Drosophila melanogaster: one gene and its partners. The protein of the gene in region 1 interacts with the protein of each later gene in a pairwise test. Each region holds a gene or a part of one and is shown in the gene's direction. Other genes may lie near its edges. The genes, in order: Plp, ana1, tacc and Cep97.

Region 1 (7,173 bases):
TAGCAACAACAATAAAATCGAGGATGATCCAAAGGTTAGGAAGGAGAATCTGGAGGCTAGGAAACAGGCCTTGGAGCAGCGTCTTAGCGAAAAAAGCTGGCTGCTGCAGCAAATCCAGAAACAGGAGACCGCCATCATCAATGGCAACTACGAGCACATGACGGTCAATGAGTTTTTTGTCCAATTAGCACAACAGTACAAACATGAACAGCAGCTGCAAGCGTTGGCAAGGGAAAACAGCTCAATTCTGAGGAGAAAACAAAGTACAACGAGTCGGGAAAGTCGCGACAGCCAAATGACCATCAACAATAACAATCGACAGTCGGAAACGCTATCGAATCGCAGTTCAGAATATGACAATTACCAACCCTCCTCATCGGCGGGGGCGGGCGATATGCTGGTAATAGGCGTGGCCCAGCAGCAGGCGCAACAACAACCGCCTCTGGTGAAGAGTGCCCTGAAGAAGCGACCAACACCCACGCCGAGTCAAATGCAATATATGCGCCAGCAGCATCAGCAACAAGCTCATTTAGCAATGAACATGAACTACCAGAGATCACAGCCGGATGTCATATCCATGTACTCGGCGAATTCATCCAATGTAGCAACTTTAAGGCAACCGCCACAAGTGGCGCCCCAGCAGCAACCAATTATAGTGCAGTGCGATAAATATTACCTATCGCCCACGCATCAAAGTTACAATGAGGGCGGCTTTATTAAATCAAGTCAGAACATCAAGAAATATGTGTCCCCAATGGCATCGCCCAGTAATATCAGCTACGAGCAGCAGCAACAGCGTAATCCTTTACATCACCAGCGACAACTAGATGCTATATCCCTTGCGCCCAGCTATGTTTCCGTCGATATGGAAGCTGCCCAGCATCAGCAGCAATATCGATGGCGTTCCCAGTCACACATAGCGCCCTTAACTCCTCCACAATTGGGCATAATAGAGGTGAAATCGCACTCCAGCGATATGCTGGCGGTGCCTATGCCACCCAGCCGCTATCCGCCGCACGATGAGATCTCACTGTCATCCTCGTCCACGACCATTGAGAAGAAGCCCAAGCCCAAGCAGTGGCTGGAATCTTCGCTAGATGGGCCAGCTGTTATCAGGCAGATGGATTCACAGCCCCACAGTCCAGCTGGGAGTAGTAATGGGAGTAGTAATCCCGGCGCAGCTGCCATGGTTTCAAGTAAACCCCGCGCTAAGCTCTCCTCGCAGTCCATGTCGGTAGCGGGTCGTCACTATTCCATGTCCAACCAGCGACCGACTCCGAATTATCCCAGTGCCAGCTATGCGGTGAATACCAGTTCGAAAGCCCTGCTAAGTCAATCGACTTCGTATCTCAATGCAATGGAGCAAACTTTGGGGATATCGGTATCGTATCCGCTGGAACCTCTGGACATACCAGCACTGCGAAACTTACCACCCAAGCCAAGTCAAATGCAGCAGCCAACGCCGCCGCCCAGACCGCCACCCGCAAATCAGGCTCATACTCAGAACCAGAACCTAAGTCACAGTGGTAATGGCAGTTCAAGCGGACTTGCTCATGGGAATGCTGTCCAAACAGCGCTTGTGTCACCGCCAGTAACAGTGGCCACAGCCAGTTTATCGCCGGAAATTCGCATCGAGTCGCCCAAAAACATGACCGTAGTTCAGCAGGCCACTTTCCAGCCGTACAAGGAAGTGACGAAACCCTTCGAGATGTCCGATTTCTACAAATACTCCACCAAGTTTAAGCAAAAGGAGGGCGGAAATCCTAATTGACCTATAAGGTTGTACGGAATTCTCATGCACTTTCACCTTTTAATGTGATTAACTAAACTAATTTTGTAGCACTGAGAAACTACAAAGCAAAAGCAGCTCAAACTATTGGACTCCTTTCGAATTTTAAGTTCGTTAGCCAAATTATTTAGGATCAAGAAAATAACAATGCTCAAAAGATCTGCCAAATTGAAAACTGACGTATTGAAAGCAATTTATCGAACGACATTCAAATTTTGTATTGAATTTTTAAAGTACAAAAAACACAGGACAATATTATCCCCGAGGGGGACAGAAATCGCCTTACAACAGGATGCCTAGAAAATATGGAAATATTTTATATAGTTAACAGCATTTATAAACAAATAACTGACTAGCTAACTAATAAGTGTATAAAGGATATTTACCCTAATCGAATGATATTTTTATATGAATATACCGATTGGATACTGATATATTCACCGAGTTTTCTTAAGACTAACTACCGACAAGCAATAACAAATAGATAAAAATAAATATTTTATATTAAAATATATGCGAGTGCGTTTTTATTGATATTTAAGCATTCAAATATTTCGTTGAACTTCCAATATTTTTCTCAAAACATTATTAATGCTCTTGTAGCATTTCAGATTTTTTGAATAATTGAAATGAAAAGAAAGCTTTATATTTCCCTAGCCTATAAATAAATGTCTCATTTATACCCATAAATGTGTTCTCACTTCCTTAAATCATTCCTTATCGAATATATCTTGTAGTTCCTTAATCTCTGGTTAAAACTTATTTATAGAACAACCGATAAAACTTAATTACTTTCCTCCCCTTTATCTCTCGGATTTCTCTTTGTTTCTCTCGCGATCTGGTAGTAGTACATTGAATTCTCTCTTTTGGACTCTCCCCAACTCAATGCCACTGCAACAAATTTTGTTTACGATTGATTATTTTTAAACAATCTCTTGTTGTGCTTCACTGAGCATTACAGTATCTGGATGGGGAGAAAAAGAGCGTGGATATCCCCCGATACCCCAAAAATATAAAGACTCTTCGCAATGGATTTGGTTCTCAGTTGCATCGCGCTCGCTATTACGTGCAACTGTTTCAGATCGGTTGCACTATTGGTTTTTTTTTGTTTTTAAGTTTCAAATTTGTCGGTTCTTTCTCCCTCGAGGAGCATTGAAAATCACATAATGATAAATTAAGAGTTCACGCTTTAAGTAGCTAGTTTCCCCCATTGTGTTGTCTTCGTGTTAAACTTTAAATTAAAAAAATATCAAATTTTACGTAAAGTCTCCAACCTAACCTACAAAATTATTCGGTTCGTTGCATTCGTCTGTGTTTGTAAGCAAGTCAACCCGAAAAAATTCTAAAATATAGTGTCATCAAAACCACTACGTAAAAACATCAACAAGAAAATGGATCGCATTTGGGCCACATCTAGAATGCCTATAGATATAGCCAACTGACAGGCGCAAGTGTCAACAAAGGCGGCCAAAAAACAGGGAATAGGCCATAAATTATTTGGTTCAAGTGCAGTCACCATGAATCTGTACACTATATACGATTGGGTAAGCCAAACAATCAGGGGTATCCATTAAAGTATTAACCCATTTGGGAGCCGAACATCCATCATCTGTGCTCTCGGATTGTGCATAAAATCCACAAAATGTGGGTTGAATGCGCCTTGATATGTGTGTTTTCAATTCATTACGATCCACAAACAGAACATGTTGTTTTTCAAGTGTGTTTACAAATGAAATCGAAATTGAATGCGCCTTTGAACTTTCGATTAGAAGACCACAAGGCCCTTCCGAAATCTGTAAACAATCTACAGTGAAAAATACCCAACGGATTAGGAATTTTAAATAATATTTTATTTTTTAAATAAGTATTATATTTTATATCATTGAATAGCATACTTTTTATTATTATAGAGCAACTTTTTAAGTGAAAATTATAATTGAATTGTCCACATTATGCGGTTTTAATTGCTTTGTTAAATAACTAATACATTTATTAGTGAATCTTGGCTACTGTTTCCCTGTTTATTATAAACATCAATATTCATATTTTTGAAAAAATGTCTCGCTACAATAACCGATTCGCTTATCGATTTTGTTGAGGAAAGAATGTTTCTGCAACTTGTTGCTGAATAAATCTAATACATGTACCGCAATACGATGAAAATTTTTGGATAATGTATACGAAAATGATCAAAAATTTTTAATATTCATCGAAATGATTAATGGCTCGAATTTCTTATATTAAATTGTTATTGTATACAAATTTTAAAATAAAATTTGAACTTCAAGTTTTTAAACTTAACTTAAAATGTTTTATGATGATTATAGAATAATTATAAATTACTAACTATAAAAAATGAAATATAACAGTTTTTGAGGGACATTAATTCTGATTATAATACTAATTCTAAGTACTTATATATATAGCTACTTCAGTATCAATCGCAATCGCGAATCGTAAAACAATAGTTCTAAATGCTTTTAAAACTACTCTTTTGCATTTATCACCATCTTCCAAACAAATTTATGTTCCACACACACATTTTGTTTATAAATAAAAAATGGGAGCGAACATTCGGTGCACGGAACCGCTTGGAACCGCGTTGCAAATTTCCGCGGCACTCGCTCTCAATCGCTCGGCCTCTCCCGTGGCTGCTCTTTTCCAACGCTTTTCTTTTGATTTTCCTCGGATTGAGTGACTGATTTCAATTGAATGTCTCTTCGGGCGTTTTATTTATAAAAGAACCTGCACTGCAGGCGGTCGCGTCGTCGTTTTTCGGTTTTCCGCACATTTATAGCTCTATAAAGATAAGAGTGCAGTGTCAGTGCCTGTGATCCCATAAAATTGTTTAAAAAAATCTACGAAACATTTGCATATACGTAGAAGTTTGCACAATGTAACCCTCAATAGCCATTGTCGATATATGGACTTTTTAAGTGATTGTAAATTGCATTTAATTGAGATAACTTCTTCATCGCTGAATTGAATCGAATGAGTGGCGGGCAGCGAAATGGGGAAATTGCATGTGAGTTCAGTTATTGTCCGCAATGTGATCTTTAGCATCGCCCAGTGACATTTGCATCACTCGCCAGCCAAAGTGTGTTAATATCATTCGAAACCGCATGATAATGAACCAAATTAGTGGATTTTTTTTGCATTGCAGTGTACTTAGAGAAAATTATACAGTATTTACCATATTTTCTATAAATTTAGTTACGATACGATCTCATTCTTAATTGTTCTTGAATATTATTTATTAGAATTACTATTTGAAAGAATAATGCTGTAAAAGATTTGGTTTGTAAATCAAATAAAATGCGGGTATAGGATATAAAGCAATTCATCATCTACTTCACAATCATATAAATTGTGTGTTCATATGTAAATTTTTATATAAAATATGAAAATGTTAAATGCAAGCGTTTAAGAATTTATATTAAACTAAACCCTTTAAATGAAATAACCTTTCTTCATAGCAACGCAAAAGAAAATCCTTTCTCCAATCCGAATTTATTTTTGTCCAACATATTTCACTGTCAATTCTGCGCCAGGCAAAGCTATTAATTTAATCATTTTCGCCAATATGCGTGCCATTATTGAGGGTTTATCGACAATATCTTGTGGAAAATCAAAGGAAAGGCGTCAGCGCCATTAACAGAGACGTTGGGCTAGGTCCTTCGCCCCTTTTCCCGTTCCAAAGGGGAGTGGCATTGTTGTTATTAGTCGCCGAAGTGCAAAAACCTCAGACGATCCAACTGAAATGTGTGTCACACCCAAACAACGGCCCACAAAAGAGGTCCAAACTATAGCAACAAATTGAAATGTTTGCAAGGAATGTAAAAGACTTTCGTTTTCGTTTTTCACGCACACTCAAAGAAAATCCGTTGTCATGGTTATAGGTGCAAACTTGTTATCCCGATATCCTTATCGCTGTGCTGGTACTTCCTGAATGTGTTGTTGTTGTCTTTGTCCTGACAAGTTCAAGGACGTTCAAACCACCATGTGGCCGGGAATTGGATAACTTTTTCACAAGCATTTTCCGCTAATATTGTGAAAACTTTGTCAAGCGTTACGGCCTGACCCACATGGCGTATGTGTAATATGGAAAATATATTTTTCAGTCGTTCAAAATACAGTACGGACTTGAATTGTATGTAAATTACAATTTAAACTTAATATAAATGGGAAATAACTCTTTTTTTTTTAAAGCAAATATTGCAATAAATATATTTTAAATAAAATTTAAAAAGTTTGCATATATGTAAGCCGACATTTACTGTATGATCTACGATATAAGTTGGAAAAGGCTTATTATTCAAACGTTGAATGCATCGCCTTGGCACATCGCTATATATGCATGCGATCTAATTAGATTTCCATCTGTGAAAAATGTAATTGGAAAATGCTTAAATATTTCCTCACTCGATTGGGGAACGGATGCATGTGTGGCACACGTTTCAAACACCTTCAGACATATAGATCACTCGAGTGGACAGAGACGTCTTTCTTAATTAATGTGGGCAAGTCCAAAAATAAATAATCCAAACATATGCAACTCCTCCGCGAAGGGAACTTTATTACCAAACATAAAGATGCCTCGAATGCTTCTAATTATAATTTAAATGGGAAACCGACAACCGACACAGCTGCAATCCATCAAGGAATGGATGTGGGCAGCAGTAGCGTCTTGCTTGCCCTCTCCAAAAGATAGCCACCAATCCACAGAACCACACTTGAGATGCAGGTCAATTTGAAATTGGATGTGCTGGCCTATCATTGCCCACATTTCCAATCGCATTTGTTTACGCAATAAAATCGCTTTTTAATACCTTTCGACCAAGTTTAGTGGGCCGCCACGATTGCGAACCTCGAAAAGAATCCTCACAATGCGTTTCAGACGTTGACAACTGGGTGACATCATTAAATCGAATCAAAATCTAGAAAATAAATTTATGGCGACAGACGACGCGTGCTGCCTTATAATTCAAGTGGCACGGCCTGGTGACACAACAAGTGGGCCAACGAAAAATGAAAACTTGCTCTTGTTTTCATTTGTTGTTCAAGCAAATCGGAATGTTCTAATATTCTGCGGCTGGTAAAATATCAGCAGCCGAATGTCTAACCAAAGACACTAGAATAACAAGATGCGTAACGGCCATACATTGGTTTGGCACTATGCAGCCACTTTTTTGGTGACGGCCAAAATTGCTCTCTTTCCGCTCGCTCACGCTGAGAACATAAGAAATCTAAAAATAGAATTTGCTTGCTTGTGTGAGTAAAAACAAGAGACGAGAACGCGTATATGTGTGCGTGTTGTGCTAGAAGACGATTTTCGGGCCGAAATCAATTCTTATCAAAGAAATGAATTTACATTGTACATATTA
Region 2 (10,120 bases), on another chromosome or scaffold:
ATTGGTAAGGCCAGGGGGGATGAAACTTAAAATTGGGTATGAGTTATGGCTCGAATGACTATGCACAGATTGACGACAAGCAAAGGGATCTGCTGCTGCACACGGAGCGCATAGCATCGTTGGAACAGAAGCTGGAGAAACGCATCGGCGATCAGAACGAACTGGAGAAGCGACTCAGGAAGGAGGTGGAAACGCTGCAGCACAGGAACAGCGAGCTGGAAACAAAGCTGGTTGATGCGGCCAGCATGGTAATATTGAGATCTCTCTTTAAATATTTACCCAAAGATTCGCGTGCTTTCAGCTTGGCAGCGAGGACGCACTGAGCGCCACCGGCAGCGATACTACTCCTCTACACAATCTCCAGCAGCAGTCGAATAGCAACCAACTCACCTCCGAGGATCGCATTGCGCTGCTCGAGAAGGAGGCGGCGCATTGGAGGGCTCAATTCGAAGTGGCCAAGCTGCATCAAGCATTTGTCTCGAACCCCAGCAAGGATCTCAGCACGTGCAGCTGCAGCACGGCGGCGGCGGGCGTCACCGTTCGACCGGCAGAGTCGGAGGCGAAAGGCAGCCAGCGGGCGCGGGATTCGCTGCAGGATCCCCCCGAACCGCCCACCAAGGAGCAGCTCATCTACAGTGTGTTCAGCAAGAAGTTCGAGGATCTGATGCGACTGAAAGTGCAAGCGGAATCCAAGTTGCGATCCTACGAGCTGGAGGTTCAGCACCTGCAAAACTGCCTGGAGAACGCAACGCACGAACTTAAGGCCAAGGACGATCAGTTGGCCAGTTTGGGTGGAGCCCTGCAAATGCTCGAAGAGGAGTTGGTGAGTTGTGCCTGCAGTTTTGTGCTCTTAGAACCAAGTGACATCTCGGATTTCCTTAGACTACGACGCGTATTAACTACGAGGAGCAAATCAGCGTGCTGACGGAGCAGGTCATCAGCTTGAGTGACCAGCTGGCCGCCTGCAAATGAGCATGGACAGCGGCGCGCATCCCGCCCAGCTGCTTTACTGTATATTGTTGTAAAATAACTAACTGGGAACGCCCGCTCCCCCTCTACCCTGTTTTGTTATTGTCCACCCTCGACGTGTATATAACTGAACATTCTATGTGTATTAAATAATTCTCTAAAGTTTAAAGTTTACAATTTGATTGAGAAGGAGGAGCCGCAGGAGCAGCCCTGTTCCGCCAGCGGATTGGCCACCATCCGGAAACCGGCGCGTATTAGTTCGCTATGGTAGTCCACGGTGGCGCCGCTGCAGTACTCCAGCGAGACTGTATCGATCACCACCTTGGCCTCAGCCTCGCCAAACTGTCGGTCATCCTCGTTCAGCTGCTTATCCAAATCGAATTTGTACTGAAAGCCGGAGCATCCGCCTCCTTCGACGGTCACACGCAGGAAAGATCCATCCACGCAGATCTCACGGAGCCGTTTCAAGCAGCTCTCGCTCACCTGGACACTAAGTTCGGGATTCGCGGATGTGGAAGCGGTTGCATGCCGCATTAGGATTAGATTTCTATGGAAGATCAAGCATTTATTGTGGGATTTGTCACGCAATTTTTCCTAGCTTATTTCACCTTTGCAATCCGCTCCTGGCCACTTGTCGCAGTAGGAACGCCATAATTTTACGATTTCACAGCCAAAAAATGTAATTTCAATATTTCTATTTACTATCTCGTAATCCAAACAATTTCAGCTGATTTCGCACGATAACGATAGGTGTCGATAGTTCGATACATCCCAACTGGGCCATCTAGGCTTGTGTACATGCTGTTGTGATGTTTTCGTTTTCAAACTGAGTTTATTGTCATGTAGCTTTCAAATTGCATTCATTAAATTTTATAATTTAAAAAAAAACACGTAGTTTTTCGATCATTTAATTTCCGAATTTGTATTGTGCCTTGAGTGCGTGCTACTTACCAGCTGGTATATTTTAGACGCATGTAAATTCTAGTACATTCAATTATTCATCTACGGTCACACTGCCGCTTGGGAGGAATTTTTAAAGACGTTGGGTTGTTTGATTTTACGCTCAAACTTGTTTCGATTTCTACTGCGTAAATGCTGCCCCACATACGAATTTATTACATATATCGATAGAGCAGATGGCTCTGCAGCTAACAGTAAATGGAAAGTTCGGGGCCAACCTGAGGAGGACCATAGGACCACTGGACGATCCAGAGCAAGTACGCAAAGATCTCGAAAGTGAGCGTCGCATAACCCGTTTGAAGCAGGTAACTTGTCCCTTGGGTTCCGAGCCCATTGCGCAGTAATTGTAACACAAAGCGTGACCACTTAATTTTATAACCAGGTGCGGGAGAAGTCAAACCACCTGGCACGCCAGATACGCGAGGATGTGGCTGCCGAAAAGAGGCGTCAAATCCACAAATTAGAGCAGGTCAAGCAAAGGGAGCTAAATGCGTGGCGTGAGCATGTTTTGGTCAAAAAGCACCAGGACTACCGTTCGGCCATTTTCCAGGTGGGCGCCGCCCATCGCGCCGCAAAGGAGGAGAACGAACGCATCGAGCAGCAGAGGCAAGAGAGAATCGACAAAATCCGAAGGTGTCGCAAGCAGGCCTTGAAAAGATCGGCTAAAGCCAGCGTTGAGTTGCGGACCACAAACACAATGAATTTAAATGCGGAGGGACGTGCCTCGGCGGGAACACAAACGCCCATAGTGGAGGACAAAGAAAACCGAATGGAGAGCGGGTGTAACAAACCCTGTTGCAAGGGCAAGCGCAAAAGGAAAACCAGCTGTGGATGTGCCAGCACCGATGCAGAGGATGAGAAGGAGGATGACGCATCGTCCGATGACGACTCATCCATCCTGATCATCGAGAGTCCGAGCAGCAACCGGCGTCTCCAAAAAACTACCCCCGTAATCCTAGACGTAGAAATCGAGGAAACCATTTCTGAAACCGACAAGAATCCCGAGGGTATGGATATAAATGATAGGTTCATGCAAACCAACCGGAAATTCAGCCATGTCGTGCGACCCAGTGATGATGAACCCCAACGCCGGCCGAGATTCACTCAGATCAGCGATTTGGTAAGAAAAACCGAGACCACCGTACGAGCTGGGCCAAGTCAACGAAGGGAAGCAGATCCTACTCCACCAGTATCTGCCCCGCCTAGTCCCACCAAATCCCCGCCAAGATCGCCCAGAAAATGTGTAGAGCGTGAGGAGCCCGTTCCTGCTCCAGCACCCAGAAAATCACCCACTAAAACAGCTAAAGGATCGCCGAAGAAAACTGTGACGGCACCACGTAACCAGCCATCAGTCAAAAGAACGGGTTTAAAATTAAATCCAGCTCCTGCCAAGGTGATAGATGCGGGAATACACAGAGGTCAGAAGGCCAAAGCTCCAGCTACGCTGCCCAAAGTAACAGCTATACAGAAACCAGCAGTGGAACCTCCTCGAAACCTTCCACCGATTCCAGAACAGGCTATGCCAGCTGTGCCAAATCCGTCGATGACCCATTGTTATCCCATGCCGCAGAATCAACCATACATGCATCCGTATGCTCAACTTCCGATGCAACCATATGCGATGCCATATTCAATGCCATTTCCCGTGCAAGCCCAGTTTCCACAACCTCATCCGATGTATGCACCGCAGCAAATGATGCCGAATCAGCCAGCTGTACTCGGTCCCGCTATTACTGCTCCACCGAGCACTGCTACGCAATCCACTGTGTCCACCACCACAATTACCATGTCCTCGCGACAGGACCCAAGGACGACTCAATGTGGGCGTGTTCAGTTCTATGATCATAGCAATAAGTACCATAGAACGTACGAAGCACCAACACAGTCGGTGCAGTGCAATGAGAAGGATGCCACCCAATTGACCGCTATGGATCATGCTCGCATCGAGAACCAGCTGAGGGATCTGCGGGAACAGGAACTGGACAAACTGAGGTAGTAGCCAGTAAAAGAAACAGAACACAGAACTTATCTTAATGAATCAAATTGAAATCAATAACGTATTTCAATAGGAAAATTAGTGACGATCGTGGTCAAAAGGCTCTTGAACGCGAGCAAGTGCGTCGGGATTGTGCTGAATTAACGGAAAAGCTAGATGCTCTAACGCAACAGCAACCGCAGCTCTTGCCAACCGATGTAAGGAAATCAAATATTTTTCCTCTTTAAATAATACAAACTCATTTTCCCACCAGGCTAACATTATACCTAGCCATCGGTACGCGGATGCAGCTGCCAGGCGAGAGCAAAAGATGAACGATGCAATGGAAGAAATGCTGCTTCGACCAGCCATTATCACCTGCCCGGAAGTGCGCACCAAACCTACTCCTCCAAACTTATCGCGCAGCAAATCCAAAGCTTCTGTGGCAGTTAATTTGGGCGAACCTCCTGTTCAAATCGGCCGGGATAATCTTGGCAGCTCGGAGAGCTGCAGCTCCATTCTTCTCGACTACGTTAATGATCAAAGCAAGCAACTCAAGTCGGACCTGCAGGCCGAGCAGTCAAACTCACTGAAATCGATGAGGCTAAAGAGTTTGCTTGAGCGCATTGAGAAAATTCGAGTCCAGCTGTTGGAGGAACTGAAGGCGGGTGAGTCAGGTGCATCAAAGGGTGACAATGCACAGGAATTGAATAATATACGTCAGGAGCGAGCTGATATTCTATCCGAGCGAACGAGAACTTTAAACGAACGAGAATCTGATTTGCAACAGAAGGAGGCTATTCTCGAGCAGCGTCTAAGAAAGTTCTACAAGGAGACAAAAAACGCAAAATCCAGTGAGAGTGATAAGCCAAAATCAAACGCAAAAGAAGATGGGCCAGTTGAGATCATTATTAAGGTGAGGAGTGACGGTACTGTTAAGCAATATGTACCGAGAACAAAATCGAAAGCCAAAACCAAGCCGTCGGCTATCGACAATGAAAAGGATGTGCCCCTGGGCTCAACTGACAGCACACCAAGAGACGATGAGCCAAAGCCGACGGAACAGGATCACGGAAAGCGACCATTCTTACAGGATCAGCGTCAGATATCCATTGATTCCAACTCCACTGCCTATCGCAGTCTGCCGCCAGTGAGCTATAAAAATATGACCACGGCCGCTCCCCCTTCTGCTCCATTACATCCCATGGTGGTTCAATATATAAATCGTCTGCTAGGAATGACACGCCAAAATATCGATGAGATGGGTGTGAGTTCCTCGTGTGTGACCACACCATCAACGTCGGTGATCAACTCATTGAGAAACGTAACCCCTTGTCCCGAGCCTGAAGCGGGAAGAGCTGAAAGGGATCAGGATGAAAATACGGAGATGAACGAGCATCGCATGGAGCGGGTGCAAACCTTTATTGCCGACAATCGCAGCTTAATCAATGACTTGGAAGAATCAATACGTTGCCAGCAGCAGCTGCAAAGGGAGCAACAATCGCTGGATGCAGAGAAAAGTATGCGCGCATTCGATCAAATATGGAACAAGCGTTTGGCCAAGAATCCTGAAGATTGTCAGCAAACCAACAAAGAGAAAGAGCAAACAAGAGAAAAGATGCCAAGGGAAAGGCCGACTCCACAAGGAGATAGGAAAAATGCAGCACCTCCACAGGAAAGCGGCAAAATTCGTAGAACTCAAGAAGGGGACCGGCAGCAGCAAACAAACGGTGCAGTGCAACAAAAAAGGGAGCAAAAGACTGTAAAACAAGGTTCAGGCGCCGATAAAAGCACAAACCGCTTTGCCCCCGAAAAATCGAAAGCACTATCCACCAGTGAGGAGTCATCTGCCCGAAACATGGAACGCTATGCACAGCTCACGGAGAACTGCACCCAGCGGATCGCCGAACTTACAGAGCTGATCACGAAAGTGCGCGAGGAGAAGCAGCGACTGGTGGAGGTCACCCTCACATCGAACAGCGATGGCGAGCGGCAGTCCACTGAATATCTTGAGCTTCCAACAGGACAACAGCAAACCAGATGCCGGACAATTTCCGATCGCAGCGATTCTCAAACACCTTCGACCTCGGAAGCCTTGCCGTTGCAGAAGCACAAGCCGACAGCGGCCAGCAGGGATAGTGGCATTGCGGACTCACGTCCAATTACGGCACAGGGTCAGGTTTGTATCGATGTGGAACCCATCTCGCTTGGGTCATCAACGCAGAATAATACAGCACGCGGACGAGTAAGGGCACCTCCGGCCACGATTCGTCGGTATAGTCCTCAACTAAACGCCGAGGATCTGGCGCACGAGCTGTCGACCATTACAGAAGTGGAAACGCCAGGACAATCACATATTGTGGCCGCCACACCGGTGCCCAAGCCATTCCCTAGTTTCGATCAGTATGCCAAGGAACTGCACTTAGATCTGTCGCGGTTGGATGCTGATCAGAGCCAACGGCTGCAGGGCGAATTTAATGACTTAATACTCGCGATCAGGCAACGCAATCAAGGAACTGACTACCGTGAGTTTCCTAGCATTAATGCCTATCTTCATAACATGACTAGCACCCGAATCCATGTGGAGATAGGTCAGGATGCAGATCAGGCCACTCTGTCACCGGGTGAACTGATGCGACAGCTGCGCGTGATCACTCATAGTATCCAAGACTTTCCCAAGCGCAGGGAATACTTTGAAAAACTTATGGCCAAGCAACCACCCGATCAGAGGGATCTAATAGACAGTGCTAGCTTAGAGAATGATTCCACGGATTCATTTAACGTAGAGGAAGAACTCCGCCAGCGGAAAATTCTAAAGAACTCATTTCGTCGAGGAAACGCAACTGAGACCACATTGACGGCTCAGGAGGTGGCTAGCAGTACGCGGCGGGAAAGCGTCGCCCCAGTGACCAACGATCAACCCAACGAGAGTGGCATAGATCCCCTCTCCGGCAGCAACTTTTCCAGCGACGCGGATCAGAGAAGTCCGTGCTGGCATGCCACAATGCATGAGAGGCAACAGCAGGTGGATGAGTTGTGCAGCAGTACCACAGCCTCGTCGCCAGAACGGCGGCCACGAAAGTCTCGGCTTCGTGGAGGCCACGAGCACAACAATAGGTCTAAGGACGATTCCACTGTGCAGGATGCAAGCCAGATAGGAAGATCCCTTAATCTGAGGGAATTCCTTACGAGAGAGCTCCTCAAACATCGAGTGCACGACGACGTTGCCAGTGAGAGTTCAGATGAGTCCTTAAGGGGGCACTTTCTGAAGTCGGTCCTACATTCGCTCTCGCCCAGCAACAACACGCAAACGCCAGGAGTGGGTGTAAGCCATGCCACCGGAGCAACAAACGACAGACAAAAGACATCCACACCAGTGGGATCGTTCCTCTCCATTCCAGAGAAGGCCGGGTCCATGAGTAACACCGGCTCTCAACTGTTCTCCGGGGAGAGTCGCATCTCCCTGGTTAACTATCCAGATGGAACTCCACCCATTCCTTTTGAACAACAAAGCAAACTTAGTACAAATCAAACTCGCCAATCCTCAGGTCAAATAGGATCAGGTGTCAGGACAACGCATCGAAAGTCGCCCCGAAAATGATCGCCGAACTTTTAATTCGTTTGTTTAGGTTTTAGATTATATTATCCATTTTATGACAATTATTTATATTTTACTTACTTTGCAATTTTGTGTCAAAAAATGACTATCGAAAAAGATTGTATAAAATTTACTCAATAAGTTAAATGTACAATTTTATTACCAATTTGTGTGAAACTTATTTATATTTTAATAAACCCGACGATTATTTATTAAATTTCTATCTAGAGTTTCAAGTACAATATTTCGGTTGTATGAATATAGACTTGCAGTAATGTACACAATTTATAAACAATATATATATTTGATGGTCTAACTAGTGAGTAGATTAACCCACTGATCCTTTGAGGACCTCGGTGTTTCAGTTCTGGTCCGGTACCAGAATGTAAGTAGCTTTTGTCATGTTGTAAGTAAACATCCGATTCACTGGCGGTCTACAATAGGTTGGTGGACAAATATTACAACGTAGTCCCTGGTGGAGATTACATCTAAGTACAATACGTATAAGGCAGTACACATTCTAGACTTTTCGTTAACAAACTTAACTAAACTAAGGAAATGAAACATTGATAACATAATATGTGTATGTGCACAAGAAAATCATTTTGGTACGGTTTTTGTTTTGGACAAGATTCCTCTTCCATTGGGAGCCCAAGAGTTGTAACCTTGAGCCATTATAAGCACCAGATTTGGTTAAATGCGATTTCCGATGGATATTTTTTTGGGCCACCGTTTCTCACTCCTGGCTCTCATCCTGATCGCGATCTCGCTCGTCCCGTTCTCTTTGCATTCTTTTGTGGCTGTCACTGGCCGTCTTCTTCAGTGCTTCCGATTCCCCGCCTGTGGCCTCTACCATTTGCCGGAGATGTCCCTGTGACTTCTTCAACAGCAAGTACGGCACATCGAATTCCACGGCGACACCAGCATCCATTACTATAATCCGATCCGAATCCATGACTGTGTGCAATCGATGGGCAACGGTGAGCACTGTGCACTGCTTGAACTTGATGCGTATGGTGCGCTGGATCAGGGCATCGGTTCTGCGAGAATAGATGGGTTAGAAGTTAGTTCTGGAGATATAGTAACTTTCGTTCTAGGACTCACTGTGGATCCACATTGGCCGTGGCCTCATCCAGTACCAGCACCTTGTTGTTTCGCAGAATCGCCCTGGCCAGGCAGAGCAATTGACGTTGGCCCACGCTGAAATTGCCGCCCCTCTCCGTTACCATGTAGTCCAGACCGGGAATGGCTTTACGCAGCTCCACATCTTCCAAAGCGCTCCACAGCTCAGCGTCGGTATACCGCTCGAAGGGGTCCAGATTGTAGCGGATGGTAGCGGAAAACAGTACCGGATCCTGGGGTATAATCGAGATGCGGGTGCGCAGAATTTCCAATGAAATCGTTCCCGTCTCTATGCCATCGATAAAAATCTCTCCCTCGATGTGAGCCAATCGGAAGAGAGCTCCAATTAGCGACGATTTCCCAGCTCCTGTACGTCCCACAATGCCAACCTTCCAGCCCGCCTCGATGGTGAGATTCAGGTTCCTAAGCACCGGCGATCCATTTGGATCATAACGACAGCTCATATTGCGGAACTCCACCTGACCGCGTGTGGGCCACTGCTGCGGTGGCGTTTTTTCGCCCAGCGCCGGCTCCTGCTCCAGTTCGGTGTATTGCAGGACGCGCTCCACGCTGGTCATTTGCTGCAAGGACTCGGCCACTTGTCGCACTCCATATTGCACCATTCCGGTTAGGATCATGGCCTGGGCAATGGCCAAGCCTACGTTGCCGCTATAAGTGGCTAAAATTAGAAAATATACCTATTAGTTTTGTTCTTTTTAATAACTTATTTCTAATAGAACTCACTTTCACTGGAGATAATGAAGCTGAAGGTGACAGAGGTAAGGAAGATGCAACTGACACAGTCCAGCCACAAGCCTAAAGTCGTATTCACTGCCATGGTCAGCTGCCACACGCTACTGTGCACATCCTGCAGCAAATCAAACTCCTTGGCCACCACATCCTGCAACTGGCGGGATCGAATGATGGCCAGACCCGTAAGGGAAGCACTGAGATGGGAAAACACCGGACTGCGGCATATGCCCTCCAATCGCTTGAGATCCTGCGAAGGTCTCAGGTACAACTTCAGGATGAGCACATCCACAACGGCTACCACCAACATGGCGGCCACCAAAACCGGATTCAGTATACCAATAACAATCAGAATTCCAAACATCACCAGAGCGATCTGTATAAAATCCATCATGGCCCGCGGCAGCAACTCATCAATGGCGCCCATATCCTTGGAGAAGCGATTCAGAATCCTTCCAGACGGAGTGGTGTCAAAGAATCTCATGGTGGCGTGCAGGATGCAGGCAAACATGCGATCGTGCAGCACCTTGGAGGCATGCATGCAAATCTTAAAGAACAGGAAGCCACGGAATGTGGTCATGATCACCACGGCGATGATCAGAGCACCGTATATGTACATGCACTCGAAGGTTGAGAAAGTGGCCTCTCCCTGCGACCTCTGATGCTCCTGCTGTGTCCAGATGTTCGCAAAGAAATCGGAACTACTGCACACCACCTGGGACATCACCATAACAAAGACCATGAAG
Region 3 (6,793 bases), on another chromosome or scaffold:
GCGTATTAACTGTGTCAAATGTAAAATTTTTTTTGGCACAATAATGTACTTGAAAACTTTTATATGCGATCTACCTGTGTTATACTTTAAACTTTTGACTTGTACTCTTCAAGTATCGTGTGCTAGAAATATAAAATGCAGTATTATAATACTGTGTATATCTACATAAGTAGGTAGCAAACATTATATTCTCGGTGACAAAAGTGATTATGGTAATAATACCAAAGCTACTGTTCCCTTTTTAATTCCAATTCTTTATTTTGACCGACTTTCATTTACTTGAAAATTCGTTGAAAAAAAAAATAAAGAAAAACTTGGATTTTATTTAACCATTCATAGATCGAAATATTGTGTAAGTGCAATTAAATAATGTTATTAATAACATGCTAGGTAACATTTGCCCTCTGGTATTTTTTCCCTGCTGGCAATTTGGCCACACTGTCACTTATGCTTCTTCAAATTGTAGCGGCATTTTCGCCAAAGCAACGTTGGAAATTCGCGTCACCAATTTCATATTGCGATAAATAAGAGTTTTATCCGAAAACGTATAGCTTAACTGTGTCATCGGCCTGTAGAAGAGCGCTGCCTGCCGGGATACACATATGCCATGGAATTCGACGACGCAGAAAATGGCCTAGGAATGGGATTTGGTGGTCGCGGCGTTCTGCGGGAGATCAACAAAAACGATGGCGGCATTAAGGTAAGTTAATAGCTGGACTTGGAGGCGTGCTCCGTCCGCGATGTACCAATGCAGCCACTTTCGGCAGAGGCATAATTCAACTCACACGTCTACAGGTACATATGTGTGTGTTCGGTTATGTACTTTGTACATATGTGTGGGTATGCTGCGTCGCAGGCTGTTCTGCTATTTTCTTTATTCGCAATTGTTCATCGTAAATACATATGTACATATAAATTTCCATTATTCGCTGTTCCTATTAGCTCTGAGGCAGCTGTCGCGAACGAGAGTTCTCTAGTTGATCGGTGTCCGCCGGACATTGTCCATCCCAGGTGACCAGTTTCCCCGATCTGCCATAGCCATAGGAGAATGGGCAATAAGCCGGGCAAGACACGGAAACCGAGGGCCTTGTCCGGGAAAATTACCATAAAGGCGGACGACGGACGAGGGAATCGGGTATGCCAAGGGAAAATCAAAAGTTACTTATTCTTCCTTCTATATATTTGTCTCTTGAAATTTCCACTCTCCAGATGGTGCACTTTCCATTTAAAAATGCTAGTGTGTATCGCTATTATGCCAATAAATCAGTTGGCGGCTAACGGCTGCAAAATGTCAGTGCCTAATGCGGTTTACAGTCCAAAAAACGCCCATCTGAGGATTTAAGTTTGACTAAATGTCATTTAACTCCATCTTCCCTTTTGCCAACAAAAATGCTCATTATAAAGGATCTACAGATGGTTTCCACCCCTTTCCACATTTGCCTATTTTTAGATCAGTTTATAGTTGGCTCTTCCTCAATATTTGTTTTCTTTTATTTTCCTGAGTTCTATTGGATATTCGAATTGCAGCTTAAGGTTCAAATTCCACTTGTATTCTATTCTATTGTATTTATTGTGTTTTCTGAAATCAGTATACTCATTTGTGGCCACTATTTGGATTCCACTCAAGGCTTATATGCTTCAACAAACTACATTGGTTTTAAATTCACCCTGAGCCGGGAACCGTGTGATATCTTGTCACCTGTCGCGCGCTGCTTGGATAACGCTAGAGCCAACATCTAACTATTCCCCCCTCGTCAAGGCCCATCGTGTGGGATTCCGTTTCATTGCTTACATTTTCTCGCCAAACATGCAAAGTCAGCCGTTGGGCAATGTGGAGCTTGCAGATAGTGCGCCATGATGCGCAACAATGGCTGTGGGATTGCATGTCATCTGGGACCCACCAGGCCTCTACACTTGAAACAATGTGATGAGCCAAATCAACATATTTATTATTTTAGAGCACTCTACTTGCCTCTACTGGTATATCTTTAAGAGAAAGCATTTTGCAAATAAGACTGTTCTCCAAAAATCCTATGGAAAATGTGCAAAATAATTCTGTCATCAAAGCGTTGAATTTGCACCAAGTTCCTCCAGTTGATTTGCGAAGACAATATAAGCAGTCGGCGGTCGCCGTATTCTCGTATCCCATTTATTTATCCCCTTCTTTAAGTGTTTCGACTTATTTGCGGTGTCTTGCACTTTCACTGCTGCCTTTCAGTCTGAATTTCGTCTGAGGCCTGTATAGTTTTTCAGTTTTTCACTGCAGTTCAGTCAAAAAGGTTGTCAACTTGAGCCCGCTCTTTTGACATTATTATTTTATAAATGTTGCCCACGACCTCGACCGTTTCCAAAATGTATTTCATATATCTAAGAGAAGTGTGTTTAAATGGATCAAGTGTGTGTTGCCCTCTAGCTTCATAAAACCCAATATATTTTCTCGAAATAGAAAAGGGTAACTATTCCAACCATAGAAAGGATAAGATTTCATCTTCAGAATCACCAGCCAAGTCTATCTGGCCACTAAGACTTATATTATTTATATGCTAATAAAATCTTTGAAGGGTATATTTCTCGTAGCTCCAAAAGCTGAGTAATGGGTAGTCGAGAAAAACGACTGAGTTCTCTGTTGTTTTGATTTAATTTTCATTAGGAATATTTGTGCTTAAAAGTTCAGAGTATAACTTATCGGAACTATTTCAAGACTAAGGATGTGCTAAATAAATGTTTTAAGTTGGTATGAAATCCATAATGTGTAATATACAAAGGTGTCTCTAGCCGCCGTCTCACATGTGAAAACATATGGCAGTATTATAAATGGAAGAGAGGACCGTGCTGATAAGGGGAGAACGCCATGTGGGCTAAAACGATCCAAACATGAAGACATACGAAAACATCCGGATCGTTATGTGGATGCCATTCAAACTATTCGTTCTCTCACTCGGTCTGTCGATCCCCCGCACTCTCGCCGTGCTCTAAGTATTTGTGCATGTGTGACGCTGAGCAGAGCAAAGCAAATTGAAAACGAAAATATTTTTAAATTGATTTTAAAGGCAGACATGATCGGGAGGCAGTGAGAACCGCACGCGACAACGGGCCGTGAGAAACCCGGAGGTATTACCCAATATAATGGAAGCGGAAAATCACAGTAAAGATTTTACCGAGTAGGCGAGCCCAAATCTGTGTCACAACAAAAACCACAAAAAAAAAAAAAAAAAAAAAACACTAAAGACCAAACTAAGGAACTCTATAGATCCATTATTTTTTGGAGCCAAGTGAACCGTATCGCGTCTCAGGAGTTAATCGTGCGTAGAGCGGCATGGATTTCCTCGCGAATATCATCAAAAGACCCAAAAGCATCGCCACCACTGGCATCAGCACCAATCAGCCAACGACAATGGAAGCCCTAGAAGCTGCTAGTCCCGCTGATGAATGTTCTACACCAAGGGATAAGGGAGGAGTTACACTTGTATCCGCGCACCTGGACTCGTTACTAGAGTCCGCCTCTGAGGAGCTGCAACGACTGGAGGGAAAGCACTGTGAACTATTTATGGAATCCATCTCGAACCCACTCCCAGCCCCCGAGGACAGCACTGATAGTAGAGAAGAAATACAGAAATTTCTAAGCGAAATAAACTTCAATCTGAACCAAGTGAGTGCTAACGAAATGGAGCACTTGCAAGCCATGAGTGGCGAGGTATGTCTGAAAGAATTAGGACTATCTTTTTATGTGCATCCCTGGGGGGGGGGGGGGGGGTGTTCTAGTATTAGGCAAACTGCATAAATCTACACATTGGAATTTTTTTGTAATGTCCCAATGTGTTTTGCCGATTGCATATATAGTATTTATGCGGTTCCACTTGGTTTTGTCACCTTATTGCGTTGCAGAAAATATTATTTTAAATAGGGTTGTATCTAGCCATTAGCTTGGGCTAATATTCCGCAGGAATCTGCTTCCCATTACCACTCAAATTTGAGCCCATTGTCAAAAAATTAAAATTAAAATACTTATCAATAAAATCGAAACGGAGAAATTGGTCTAATGCCAGAATTTTCCTAATTTTTAGTGTCTCGCTCATAAGCCGGTCACCACTCGCCTTATTCTTCTGACTTTAACCTTGCAGCACCCATTATACTGCAATGCGCTCTAATTAAATTCCGCGTGTAGAACGATGCTCCCAAACCTAAATAGACATTAAACATGGCGGCCGGCCGCATTGAATCCGCGGCATGTTTATTTCGCACTGCACAAAAGCTGACGTCGACCCAGTTCCACGTCCATCTCCCCACCTTTTGCTCCTCAATCCGTTTCGTTGCCACCCTCCCAAACATATGCCATATACCCGATTTTTACGTCTTGGCTGGCTTTTTAATTAATGACATTTGCTTTTGTTGACTGACCGACTGCGACAAACATTTGAAATGTATGTCTTTTTTAAGCGTGAATTGAAGGCATCTGTATCATATGGGCTACATTAGATGAGATTGAAGTTTTTCAAATGAAGATCATAATTTCATAATAATGTATTCTTTTGTATATGATAATAACTAAAAATGGGGGTCCTATGCCTTTGTATAATTTCTTGGCAATGGGAAAATACGGGAAAAGTCATCCCAAATGCGATTTATTTATGCCAACTGTGGTGGGGCTCTTGCCTTTTTGTGTGTCAAAAATTCTTAATTAAATGACCAACCAGCTGCTACTCGTGATCATCTTTAAAACCCCATTCCCAACATCGGTTGTTCACGGTTTAAAACTATTCGGATCATGACCGCGATGTACATCTTGATAACTATATTCTTAAATTTTGCATCTCTTGTTTGGCAGCTGAGTCCGTTGGCGGTGAAGCCCAGTCCCAAGCCAACGAGCATGGATCAACAGAAGGCAATGGCGGCAGCTCTGGGGCATCAGACGGCGGTACCCGGTGGACTTAAGCCAGAAGACGACCTCGTTCCAAAGTTTGGAGGTCTTCCCGAGTTCGATGAGACGCAAATACCGGAACTAGCTCCTTTAAGTACCGATATGGATAGTGAGTAAATCTTGTTTGTGTAACCCAGAAATCTCTTAAGGTAGAAAAATTATATTGATGTACAAAAGAATTCCATACGAAATCCGCCAGAAGAGCGAAGTAATTTCTTCTATTTCAATACCGTCATTTATACAAAGGAAAGGGCCAGCTGGGGAAAATAAATCATTTCCAAGTTTATGTATAAATTTCTCGTTGTATTAATTATATAAATAAATTTCTTATATGTATTTAATTATTATTAAAACGAATTGATTAATATATCGCATTCATTCCTCCCTTAGCTCAACTGAAATCCAACCATTCGGATTCGGATGTTTTTGTCGAGTGTTTATCGCTTCATAGCGAGCGCTACACCGGAGATCGATCGGAGTTAGAGGCATATTCAAGTGCCCTTAATGATGTTTTGGAGCAGCAGCTGTCCATGACCTCAGTTTCTACACTGGGAGCTGAATTCAACGATCCTTTGGCAGTTAGCCAGCACAACAACGTCAGCTATGAAGCCATGGATGTGGATGACCTAAACGAAACCATGGAAATGTTAAAGGACGTCTTGAATGCGGAAGACCGTCATCTTATGCAAACGCATATTCTCAGCGTAACCCAGTCAAAACCAGAGAATAATTTTGTGCACTATCATCCAAATCAGGAGCAAAATAGGGTTGAACTAGACCAGTTAGCCAAACACTCTAAACCCAATAGTGATGCAAAGGAATCAGAATCATTGGTAGAATCAGTACTGTCTGAGGAGTCTGGTACACAATCCTTTGAGCCGAAGCTCACCTTATCTGCCTTGGACTCTACGAAAGACTTAGCTAAGCATCAAGAGGAAATGCAAACAAATACAAAAGATATATTTCAGAAAGAGAAGCACCACCCGGTCAGTAGTGCTCAGGTGAAGGACGCACAAAATCCTAAGGAGCCTGAAAAGGCCTTAAATCTCAAAGAGGCTTCTTCAGAACTGTCCACAAAATCAGCAAAATCTCTAGAATACCCTAATCAAGAGAAGCAATTTTCGGTGGCAGTAGAATCAATGGAGAGACCATGCACTGCCATCAGCCTTGAGCAAAATGCATCCCCAGCTATGGAGGCAACTGAAGACAGGACTGTGGAGGAGCTTGATCAAATGGATGTGGATGAATCCATGAAAGTGGATGATGCCACAGTGCTTAACTCATGTCGGCAGGAGCAAATTAATGCTCATTCTCCCGTTTCAAGCAAATTTTTCTTAAAACTCTGCGTTCAAAATGATACGGATTGTCAAGATAATAAAATGGATCAAAAAACTGCAGGAAAAGAAAGTGCATTAAAGATGACTGAAATAGAGCTGCCTGTAGAATCTGTCCCATCAGCTTCGCTCTCACCGCCGACACCCGCACTTCAAGCAAAAATTATCGAACTTTCCCTTTCCCCGCCCATACCTACACATCGCCCAAAAACAGCGGAGGAACTAGAGTTCCTGGCTTTGAGGGAGCTGCCTTTGCCTGATGGTGTCTCGACGGCGGGGAAGGTGGAATGTAAGCAGCTATCACACGGCCTGGTACCCATTGTGGCAGTCTTACCAACGCCACTTTACTTGGATCTGAAAGGGAATACAACCACTGCAAGCCTTCCAGAACCGACTTCGCCCAGTTTCCCCATCAAAGAACCTGCTGAAAAACAGTCCCACTTTCCACGCTCACCGCGTGCTCAGCTCGAGCAAAAGGACATGCCCTATTTGGAAGAGGCTGTGGTAGAACGTTCATCACATCGCAAGCAAAGCGATTTCG
Region 4 (8,015 bases), on another chromosome or scaffold:
TACCTGAACTTTACGTCCCACGCGGACAAGGGTCCTCCAATGCCGGCAGCATTGCATCGAGTGCTCAAATGGAAACTCAGCCCCGTGATGCCGAAGATTGTCAAGCGAGTGGTGCTCAATTCGGGCTTCCGCATCATCAAGAGTGGGTCGTCGTATGATTACTGTGGTTTAAACCCCATCTAATTGTTTCAAAAAACTTTGTTGCAGACACCACCGACTGGATGGCCGTGTGGGAGAAGCACATGAAGAGCCCCGGGTTTAGGACCATTCGATCGCACCAGAAGTACAACCATATACCCGGATCGTTCCGCATCGGTAGAAAAGACACCATGTGGCGCAGCATCTACAACAATATGAAGAAGTTCGGCAAGAAGGAGTTTGGCTTTATGCAAAAGTGAGCACTGCGAAAATATAACTTTGAATTTCTATTATTTTACTCGATATCTTCTTTAACAGATCCTACATTATGCCAGACGATCTGGAGAGCCTGCGTCAGGTGTGGCCCAAAAATGCCTCGAAGCTGACCAAGTGGATTGTTAAGCCGCCGGCGAGTGCCCGAGGCACGGGCATACGCATTGTGAACAAGTGGAGCCAATTTCCCAAAGATCGTCCTCTGGTGGTTCAGAAGTGGGTGCCCATAACTTCGTCTTCTTTAAAAATCTTCCCTAACCCTAAACCCCACTTCAGATACATTGAACGTCCGCTGTTGATCAACGACAATAAGTTCGATATGCGTCTGTATGTGGTACTGACCTCGATCAACCCACTCCGCATCTATATGTACAAGGATGGACTGGCGCGTTTCGCGTCCGTTAAGTACAGCTCGGAGCTGAGCAATCTGGACGAGCGCTGCATGCACCTGACCAACTACAGCATCAACAAGTTCTCGCAGAACTATGCGAAGAACGAGGATTTCAATGCCTGCCAGGGCCACAAGTGGACGCTTCAATCGCTGTGGTCCTGCCTGGAGAATCGTGGCGTGAACACTAAGCGCCTGTGGGCCACGCTACGGAATCTGGTCATCAAGGGCATCGTGAGCGGGGAATCGGGATTGAATCGCATGTACCGCCAGAATGTGAACTTTCGCTACAATTGCTTCGAGTTGTTTGGCTTCGATGTGCTCCTGGATGAGAATCTAGTGCCCTGGCTGTTGGAGATAAATATATCGCCGTCGTTGCATTCGGAATTGCCACTGGATCTGCACGTGAAGGGTCCGCTCATTCAGGCCGTGCTGAATACGGCTCTATATCAGGTGCCGCCTAAGCTGAACGAACGTCAGCAGGCGGACATCCTGGAGGAGCTTAATCTGACCGGTCCGTTGTGCCATGACAAACGCATCTTCACCACCTGCCTGACTGCAGAGGAGGTCCGCAAACATAACCAGTACACCAATCGGAGCATCGAATTCCGGGAGGAGTACGTTGATACCATACTGGACAATCTACTGCCGGACGATGTCCGTTGCCTGATCGTTGCCGAGGACGAGCTGGCCAGGTGTCAGCCGCTGGAACGGATCTTCCCCACCGCCGGCACACATGTATATCTGCGCTATGTCGAGAATGCCCGGTACTATAATCGCCTGCTGGACGCCTGGGAGACGAAGTACGCCAAGAATAGGGAAATGGGCATTGCCTTGCTGTCGCGCTATTGCCGGGACAAATACCATTTACAGGTGTCGGACGCCGCCATGGAAAAGGTGAACGATCAATTCAATTCAATTGAATTTCCCCTTCCGTACCGCTTCTGTAGTCCATTTTCAAGTCATATTTCTTATCTAGGAACCAAATGTTGCACTTACCGAGATCGATATGCTGCACGTGCGAAAGGATGAGGTCTTGGACGGTGCCACCACGCTGGCCATACTTAAGCCCGTTGTCCAGGAGGGCTGCGAGGTGGCGCCGATTCCGGATGCCTGCATCGAGATCAAGTCCTGAAATTGAACCGAACTATCAGCACTATCACCATTGCTTCTTCCATTGCCATTGCCATTTCCATTCCCGTTTCCGTTACCAGCTCACAGCTGTGCCAGCATCCCGTGCAGATGTGCTCCGGAATTGTATCCGCTCAGTAAATTCACTTAACTTCGATCGTCTTTGGTGGCAATAGCCTGTTTTGGCATCCAGCTAGAAATTGGATCACACGTCATTTCAGTAAATATAAAACACTACGGGGTGTTTAAAAAAATTATGAAAATAAATATTTTATTTAAATTTAGTTCTTATTATTTATTCTTTATGCGAACACTGTAAACTGTAAAGAGTATCGGTTTTCTTATTGGGTAATTGCTCAGCACAGTACTAAGCTTTTTGAACTACGCGGGCTTTGGCAGTTGCGATAAGTCTAAGGAAGTGCAATCGATAACTAGCGGCGCAGTCTTGAGTTTTCAAGCTGCCGATAACGACATCACGCCTCCAATTATCGATAGACGTAGTATAATAACAATAAACAAAAATTCACTGTATTGCACGGCGCTAAAATAAAAATTAAGTTTGCAAATCATGGCGTGGACTGAATTATAAACCCGGCTTGAAACCAAAGGACTGCAAGTGGAACAGCTGAGCTGCACACTTGGGAAATTGCCAATCTGAAACTGCGTGGAAAAAAGAGTGGCCCATTGATTTTTCGCTAAGTATCTGCTGATTAAAAAAAAATTGACCGCAGCGTTGGAATTTCGGCCTGCCAATCAGAAAAATGAGTGGTAAGAAGCCAGTTCTATGCAAGAATGGGCACTATATATTAGTAACTAATAATATGATTTGCGGGGATTGGGATTTGCGTGCTGACTGTATGGGAATTTGCAGTCTGCTTTTGGGGAGTTGGGGTTAATGTTCAGCGGGCCGGGGGCTTCGAGGTCCTGGCTAAAAAGGACGCACCTGCGCCCTGACCTCCTCTCCAACTTCTTGAAAAGTGCGGACCCCTCGATGAAGTCATCAATTTTGTAACATGCACACGTATACAGTGAAGCTTGCATTATGTATTTCCTTTTTGGGCTTTTTGTTTTACATAATTCTGATATTGTGTTTAATGCATAATAAGTATGAAGTGGTAAACCTTAGTTTCTACCCACTGTGCTTTGTTAACCCAAACAGGCGACGAAAGTGGCGAGGAGAAGCACGTCCTGAACTTGTCCAAGCAAAAGCTGAAGAAGGTGCCCAAGCAGGACGATGCGCACAGCATACGGCAGCTCATCCTGGACGAGAACGAGCTGCAGAAGATCGACAACATAGACTCGTATCTCAAAATTGAAACGGTGACTTGCAACGTTCTGCGAAAAGAAACAAGTTCCTAATTAACAGAAATTCAAATATTTCAGCTCTCCTTGGCCAGAAATCAATTGCTGCGCATGTATGGCGTCTGCCGGCTGCATTGCCTGCGTGAACTGAATCTGTCCTTCAATGGCATACTCTCTATCGAGGGCCTGAAGGAATGCATCCATCTGCGCGTTCTGAATCTGGAGGGGAATAACATCAAGACCATCGAGCATCTGAACACGAATGTCAATCTGGAGTGCCTGAATCTGGCGGATAATAGCATTGGCAGCATTTCGGATATGTCCTATTTGCGCAATCTCAAGGAGCTATATTTGCACGGAAATCGCTTGACGCATCTGAGGCAGTGCGACAAGTGTTTGCCCACCTCACTGGAAACCCTAACGTTGGCCAAGAATAGCATCAACGATCTCAACGAGATCTGTACGCTGTCGCATCTGAGCAACTTGCTGAGCATTTCCATTGCGGATAATCCCTGTGTGACCATGATCAACAGTTTGGAGTGAGTTAGCTTAATGGATCATATGGATTGCGCTTAAAATGTAACATCTCTTGCAGTGGCTTTGATTACCGACCTTTTGTTTTAAACTGGTGCATGAGCCTCAAGTACATCGATGGCTTTGTGGTCGATCCTATTGAGAGTCTTAAGGCCGAATGGCTGTATAGCCAGGGACGTGGTCGCCAGTTCCGTGTGGGCGAGCAGCAGGGCTTGGCAAAATACCTAAGTTCTGTGTGCCCGCTGGTGGGCAAGGCGCTGGAAAATGAAAACGATAGGAAACTCCGGCTGATCCTCAGCAAGGCGCAACACCATCAGCGGCAGCTGCAGGAAGAGATCATGGATAACGCAAATAGTTCTGCCAGCACTTCGCCCTCATCCCATCGCAAGAAGCCCACGAGTCGCATTCAGTCGCCCAGATGTAAGTTATTAACTCCCTATCTATGCTTTTTCATATAACTTATATTTTTCTGTCTTCGATTTAAAGTCTCCCGCTTGAGTGGCCGCCAGGGATCACCGGAGTCCATGGTGAATAGCTATCACGGGAACAGCAGCAACAATAGCATTGTTAGCGACAATGGATCTACGAATCATTCGCTGCAAATGAGCATTTCGCTCATTGAGAACATTAAAAACGATGGCGAAGGCTTTAGTTTGGCCGGCAGCGGAATGTCCAGCAGCGTGACCACCAAGACATACAATTCCACGGAGTCCACGCCACGGAATATAACACCCAATCCCTACAATGGTATGACAATTAAAATATATTCAATGCAAGAGTGGAAAATGATGTTAATAGTAAACAACAATTCCACAGATCAAACGTTCATCAGTCAAACCCCATCTGGTGGTCCATTGGCGGCTGCCTCGAAAATGGTCCCAGTTCCGGAGACTCTGATGAGCCCGGATGTCTGTCCCGCCGCTGTGGCCCAAAGAGTTACGGTTACGGCACTGAACCCTCAGCTGCACAAGACCAAGATCAACAAAAATAAAGGTAGCCAGTAGTTGTTACTCTAGACTTTTAAAACGACACAGATTTCTAAAACATACATACACATTTACACTACAGACAACAAACTGAACTTGCCAAGAGTGCGAAGTCCACAACTGAAGAGGAACCAAAGCCCTACGAGCAGTCCACGGAGGATGGCCAATAAGTGCAGCGCGGACAACATGCAGGCACCGGAGAAACTCCAGCAATCGGCTGTTTTGGCCGATAGCGGTGGCTTCAGCACCGACGACGACGGCGAGCAAATCAACATAGAGAAACTGAGAGCAATCCGGAAGATGGCCGCTCAGAAGCAACAGCAGATGCATCAGGAGCAGCTGAAGCAGCAGGTGGACAACAACCTGAACTGCCAGGATCGGCTGATCGAGCACGTGACAGAGTCCTCGGCCGTTACCATCCAAAAGATGTGGCGAGGCTATCACACACGCAAGAAGACCAACAAGGACATAGCCGAGCGATTGCAGCGACGACGCACACAGGAGTATATCGAGTAGGTGGTCTCGTTTTAGGCAACATATATCGCAACTTTCTAATGCTCTATCTGTCGCATTCCTCAGACAACTCGGCAAGGATATGCTACTTACGAAGGCCCAGCTCGAGAACGAGCGAAAGATTCAGCAGCTGCAGATGCAGGCCATCAATGCGCTGTGGAAAAAGGTGTCCACCATGGAGGTGGATCCCAAGGGAATACCTGCTGCTGCGGAACAGGGCGAGGACTCCAATGGCGGAGGGTCTGGCCACCTGAGTCTCGATCAAAATTCAGCCGCCGTGGTAAATGATTTGGCGAAAAGATGCACCATGCTCACCGATCAGGTTCAAATGCTGCAAAGCTCGATTGGAACCATCGTCAACTGCCTCACAATGGTGTGCAATCTGCCGCAGGACGCTATTAAGAAGCAGGCCGAGATCATTGATTGCAGCTCCACTCAGACGGACCTCATTGCCGTACACACGCCGCAAATAGAGGACCTCACCAATTTTCCATTCACCAAAACAAGGCCCTCAACCTTGGCCCTAGAATCCAAGCACGAAGCTGCTCTGGCTTGTCCCAAAATCGATGAATTGAATGATGTCGACCTGAAGGAGACCCAAGAAGACTCGGAAAATCTTGATAAAGATCCATGAACAAATCCCAGTTAATAAATGAGGAGTATAAACGCTTTAAGGGTCGATCTCAGCGCTTATTAATTCCTTTCTTAGGCTTTTGTGTAGCTTTTGCAACAATATTAGATCGGTTACGAGAACTTAGAAGTAGCACCAGCATTCACAAACACATTACTTTGTTACATTCCTGAGATGCAGCGATGGTGGAAGACTTAACAATAGTATGAACAAATCGTAAATACAAATTTTTGTAAAGCACAAAAGGTGTTCTTGATTGCGGGCAGATTTTGTTCAAAAACAACACCAGCATTAACCAACAGTTTTTTTTTAATTAAGTTTGACAAATTTGTAAATAACCTAACTATGTGTGTGTTTGTACATCGTTCAGTCCTCTTCGCTGGATGTTTCCTCATCTTCCTCTTCGTCGGAGGAATCGCGATTTACAGGCCGATTTGTATTGGGCAGGAGATCATCCTCGAAATCGGAGTCGTCTTTGTTTTGGCTGGTGGCTTCCTCCTGTACAGGTTTCTTTGTGAATTTATCCGGCCAAATTGCAGCTTTTGTGTATTCCTTTATATGTTCGGGTGTGAGTATTTTGCAAATCTCGGCTTTGACTTTATCGCCCTCCTCAATCGGTTCGACCAGCAGAAAGTCGCCACGTTTCACCCACATGCTCTTGCGGAATTTGTTGGGCATCGAAACTAAAAGGGTCAGAAGGATACAAATTCATTATTAAGTATCAACATGAAATGAGTTGGGATGGGCTATCTCAACATGTCTTTATCGAGACGTTCAGACGGACGGACGAAGATATACGGACGAACGGAAGGACATGGCCAGATCGATTGGGATATTGATCCTGTTCAAGAATATATATGCTTGGTATGGTTCCATCGCTTCCTTCTGCCTGTGACATACTTTTCAAAAAATCTAGTATACCCGGCAATAGCTAGTTCAAAATTAACTAACCATGGAGTTTTCCTCGACTTTATTCATCCACTCACCAAGGAACGTTTCGTCCACGGTCTCCACCTCGTGGAGATTGTTGCCCCGACTGCTGATGACCCGCGCAATCTGCTGAGTTTCTGTGGGCAGCGCGTAGTCGTCCTCCATCATCTCCTTCATGAGATGCTTGCGACGACTGATACTCGGGTGTGATCGGTGCATTGTGCAGCTTTCAATATGATTTCTGTGCAAATTGCCAATTAAATTAAAATTGCTCAACTTTTGACTTGTTTTGTGTACAAACAGCTGTTGGGCTAGTGATGTGAGGCAGCACAAGTCGTGTCACTATCGATAGCACTCTATAAAAATGCTTAGCGATAGGTCTCAAGCCATGCCACACACAGCACTAGCAAGCAGTGTTGTACAATCCCTAGGCAAAGTGATAAATTCTATTTTTGAATAAAGTGCCAAAAGTTTGTGAATTATAACCGTCGCGAAACGATTCGAACACTAAAAGAACACTCGTCCGAGTAAACGCGCAATGTTAATAGCAAGAGCACATTTTATTTGTAGAGCCACAGCGCCTGCATTTAAGGAGTTTATACAAATTGGTGACTTAACAATTAGTGGAGACTACATCCATGTAACGAGAAGTTTGCTGAGCAATGGTGTAATAAAAAGCAACTATAAATACAAAATATATTCAATTGAGGCAACTAGTTCTTGCTACGCCTCATCAGCATGCGCTCCTTCAGCGAAATCCGTCCGGACTTCTCCACCTTGGTGGATACGTTGCGACGCGATTCGATTTGGGCCTGCTTCGATTTCTTCATTCTGAAAATGTGTAAAAAAAAACTGGGTAATCCCGCTGGGTAAGTGGTAAGTTGACTGCTGCTATTGCTTACAATTCATTCAGGAGACTGGTGATCTCCTTCTTCCAAATGTCCTTGAAATCATTGGTGAAATTCGTCCAGTACTCGAAGAACTGGTCGGGCGTGCACTGGGCCAACGTTAGGGTGCAGGCTTTGGGTGAGAAGTGGTAGAAGCGCATGGTCTCCAAAAAGAGATCGCGACACTCGTCAAGGGATTGATGCAGCTTGGCCATCGATTTGTCCGCCCCCTCCACAAACTCCTCCATTTTGGACTTGAAGGGCTCCATGATCTCGGGACGCGAGGCGGCCAAAACTTTGGC

Evidence for each region.
Region 2: the proteins of Plp (region 1) and ana1 interact in a two-hybrid assay, tested with the Drosophila melanogaster proteins (one study listed by BioGRID).
Region 3: the proteins of Plp (region 1) and tacc interact in a two-hybrid assay, tested with the Drosophila melanogaster proteins (one study listed by BioGRID).
Region 4: the proteins of Plp (region 1) and Cep97 interact in a two-hybrid assay, tested with the Drosophila melanogaster proteins (one study listed by BioGRID).

Annotation. Positions count from the first base shown.
Region 1 is NT_037436.4:15,085,952-15,093,124, reverse strand, and holds the start of Plp (Pericentrin-like protein), read left to right. Parts: upstream 1-2,931; 5' UTR 2,932-3,306; coding exon 3,307-3,333; intron 3,334-4,571; exon of another isoform or gene 4,572-4,799; coding exon of another isoform or gene 4,800-4,814; intron 4,815-7,173. Other genes in the region: sstn (stepping stone), read left to right, coding at 1-1,771.
Region 2 is NT_033777.3:24,528,681-24,538,800, forward strand, and holds ana1 (anastral spindle 1), read left to right. Parts: upstream 1-1,895; 5' UTR 1,896-2,105; coding exon 2,106-2,234; intron 2,235-2,311; coding exon 2,312-3,921; intron 3,922-3,998; coding exon 3,999-4,122; intron 4,123-4,178; coding exon 4,179-7,505; 3' UTR 7,506-7,715; downstream 7,716-10,120. Other genes in the region: CG6607 (uncharacterized protein), read left to right, coding at 1-4, 69-248, 302-823, 883-972; CG13623 (uncharacterized protein), read right to left, coding at 1,141-1,516, 1,578-1,621; Cftr (CF transmembrane conductance regulator), read right to left, coding at 8,239-8,542, 8,607-9,303, 9,369-10,120.
Region 3 is NT_033777.3:4,742,698-4,749,490, reverse strand, and holds the start of tacc (transforming acidic coiled-coil protein), read left to right. Parts: upstream 1-3,076; 5' UTR 3,077-3,316; coding exon 3,317-3,694; intron 3,695-4,825; coding exon 4,826-5,027; intron 5,028-5,308; coding exon 5,309-6,793.
Region 4 is NT_033779.5:3,865,291-3,873,305, forward strand, and holds Cep97 (centrosomal protein 97kDa), read left to right. Parts: upstream 1-2,406; 5' UTR 2,407-2,691; coding exon 2,692-2,698; intron 2,699-3,089; coding exon 3,090-3,250; intron 3,251-3,313; coding exon 3,314-3,771; intron 3,772-3,827; coding exon 3,828-4,186; intron 4,187-4,252; coding exon 4,253-4,513; intron 4,514-4,582; coding exon 4,583-4,759; intron 4,760-4,799; exon of another isoform or gene 4,800-4,834; coding exon 4,835-5,264; intron 5,265-5,331; coding exon 5,332-5,899; 3' UTR 5,900-6,135; downstream 6,136-8,015. Other genes in the region: TTLL4B (tubulin tyrosine ligase-like 4B), read left to right, coding at 1-142, 208-394, 457-627, 688-1,696, 1,779-1,934; CG31957 (uncharacterized protein), read right to left, coding at 6,263-6,579, 6,883-7,045; capu (cappuccino), read right to left, coding at 7,540-7,657, 7,729-8,015.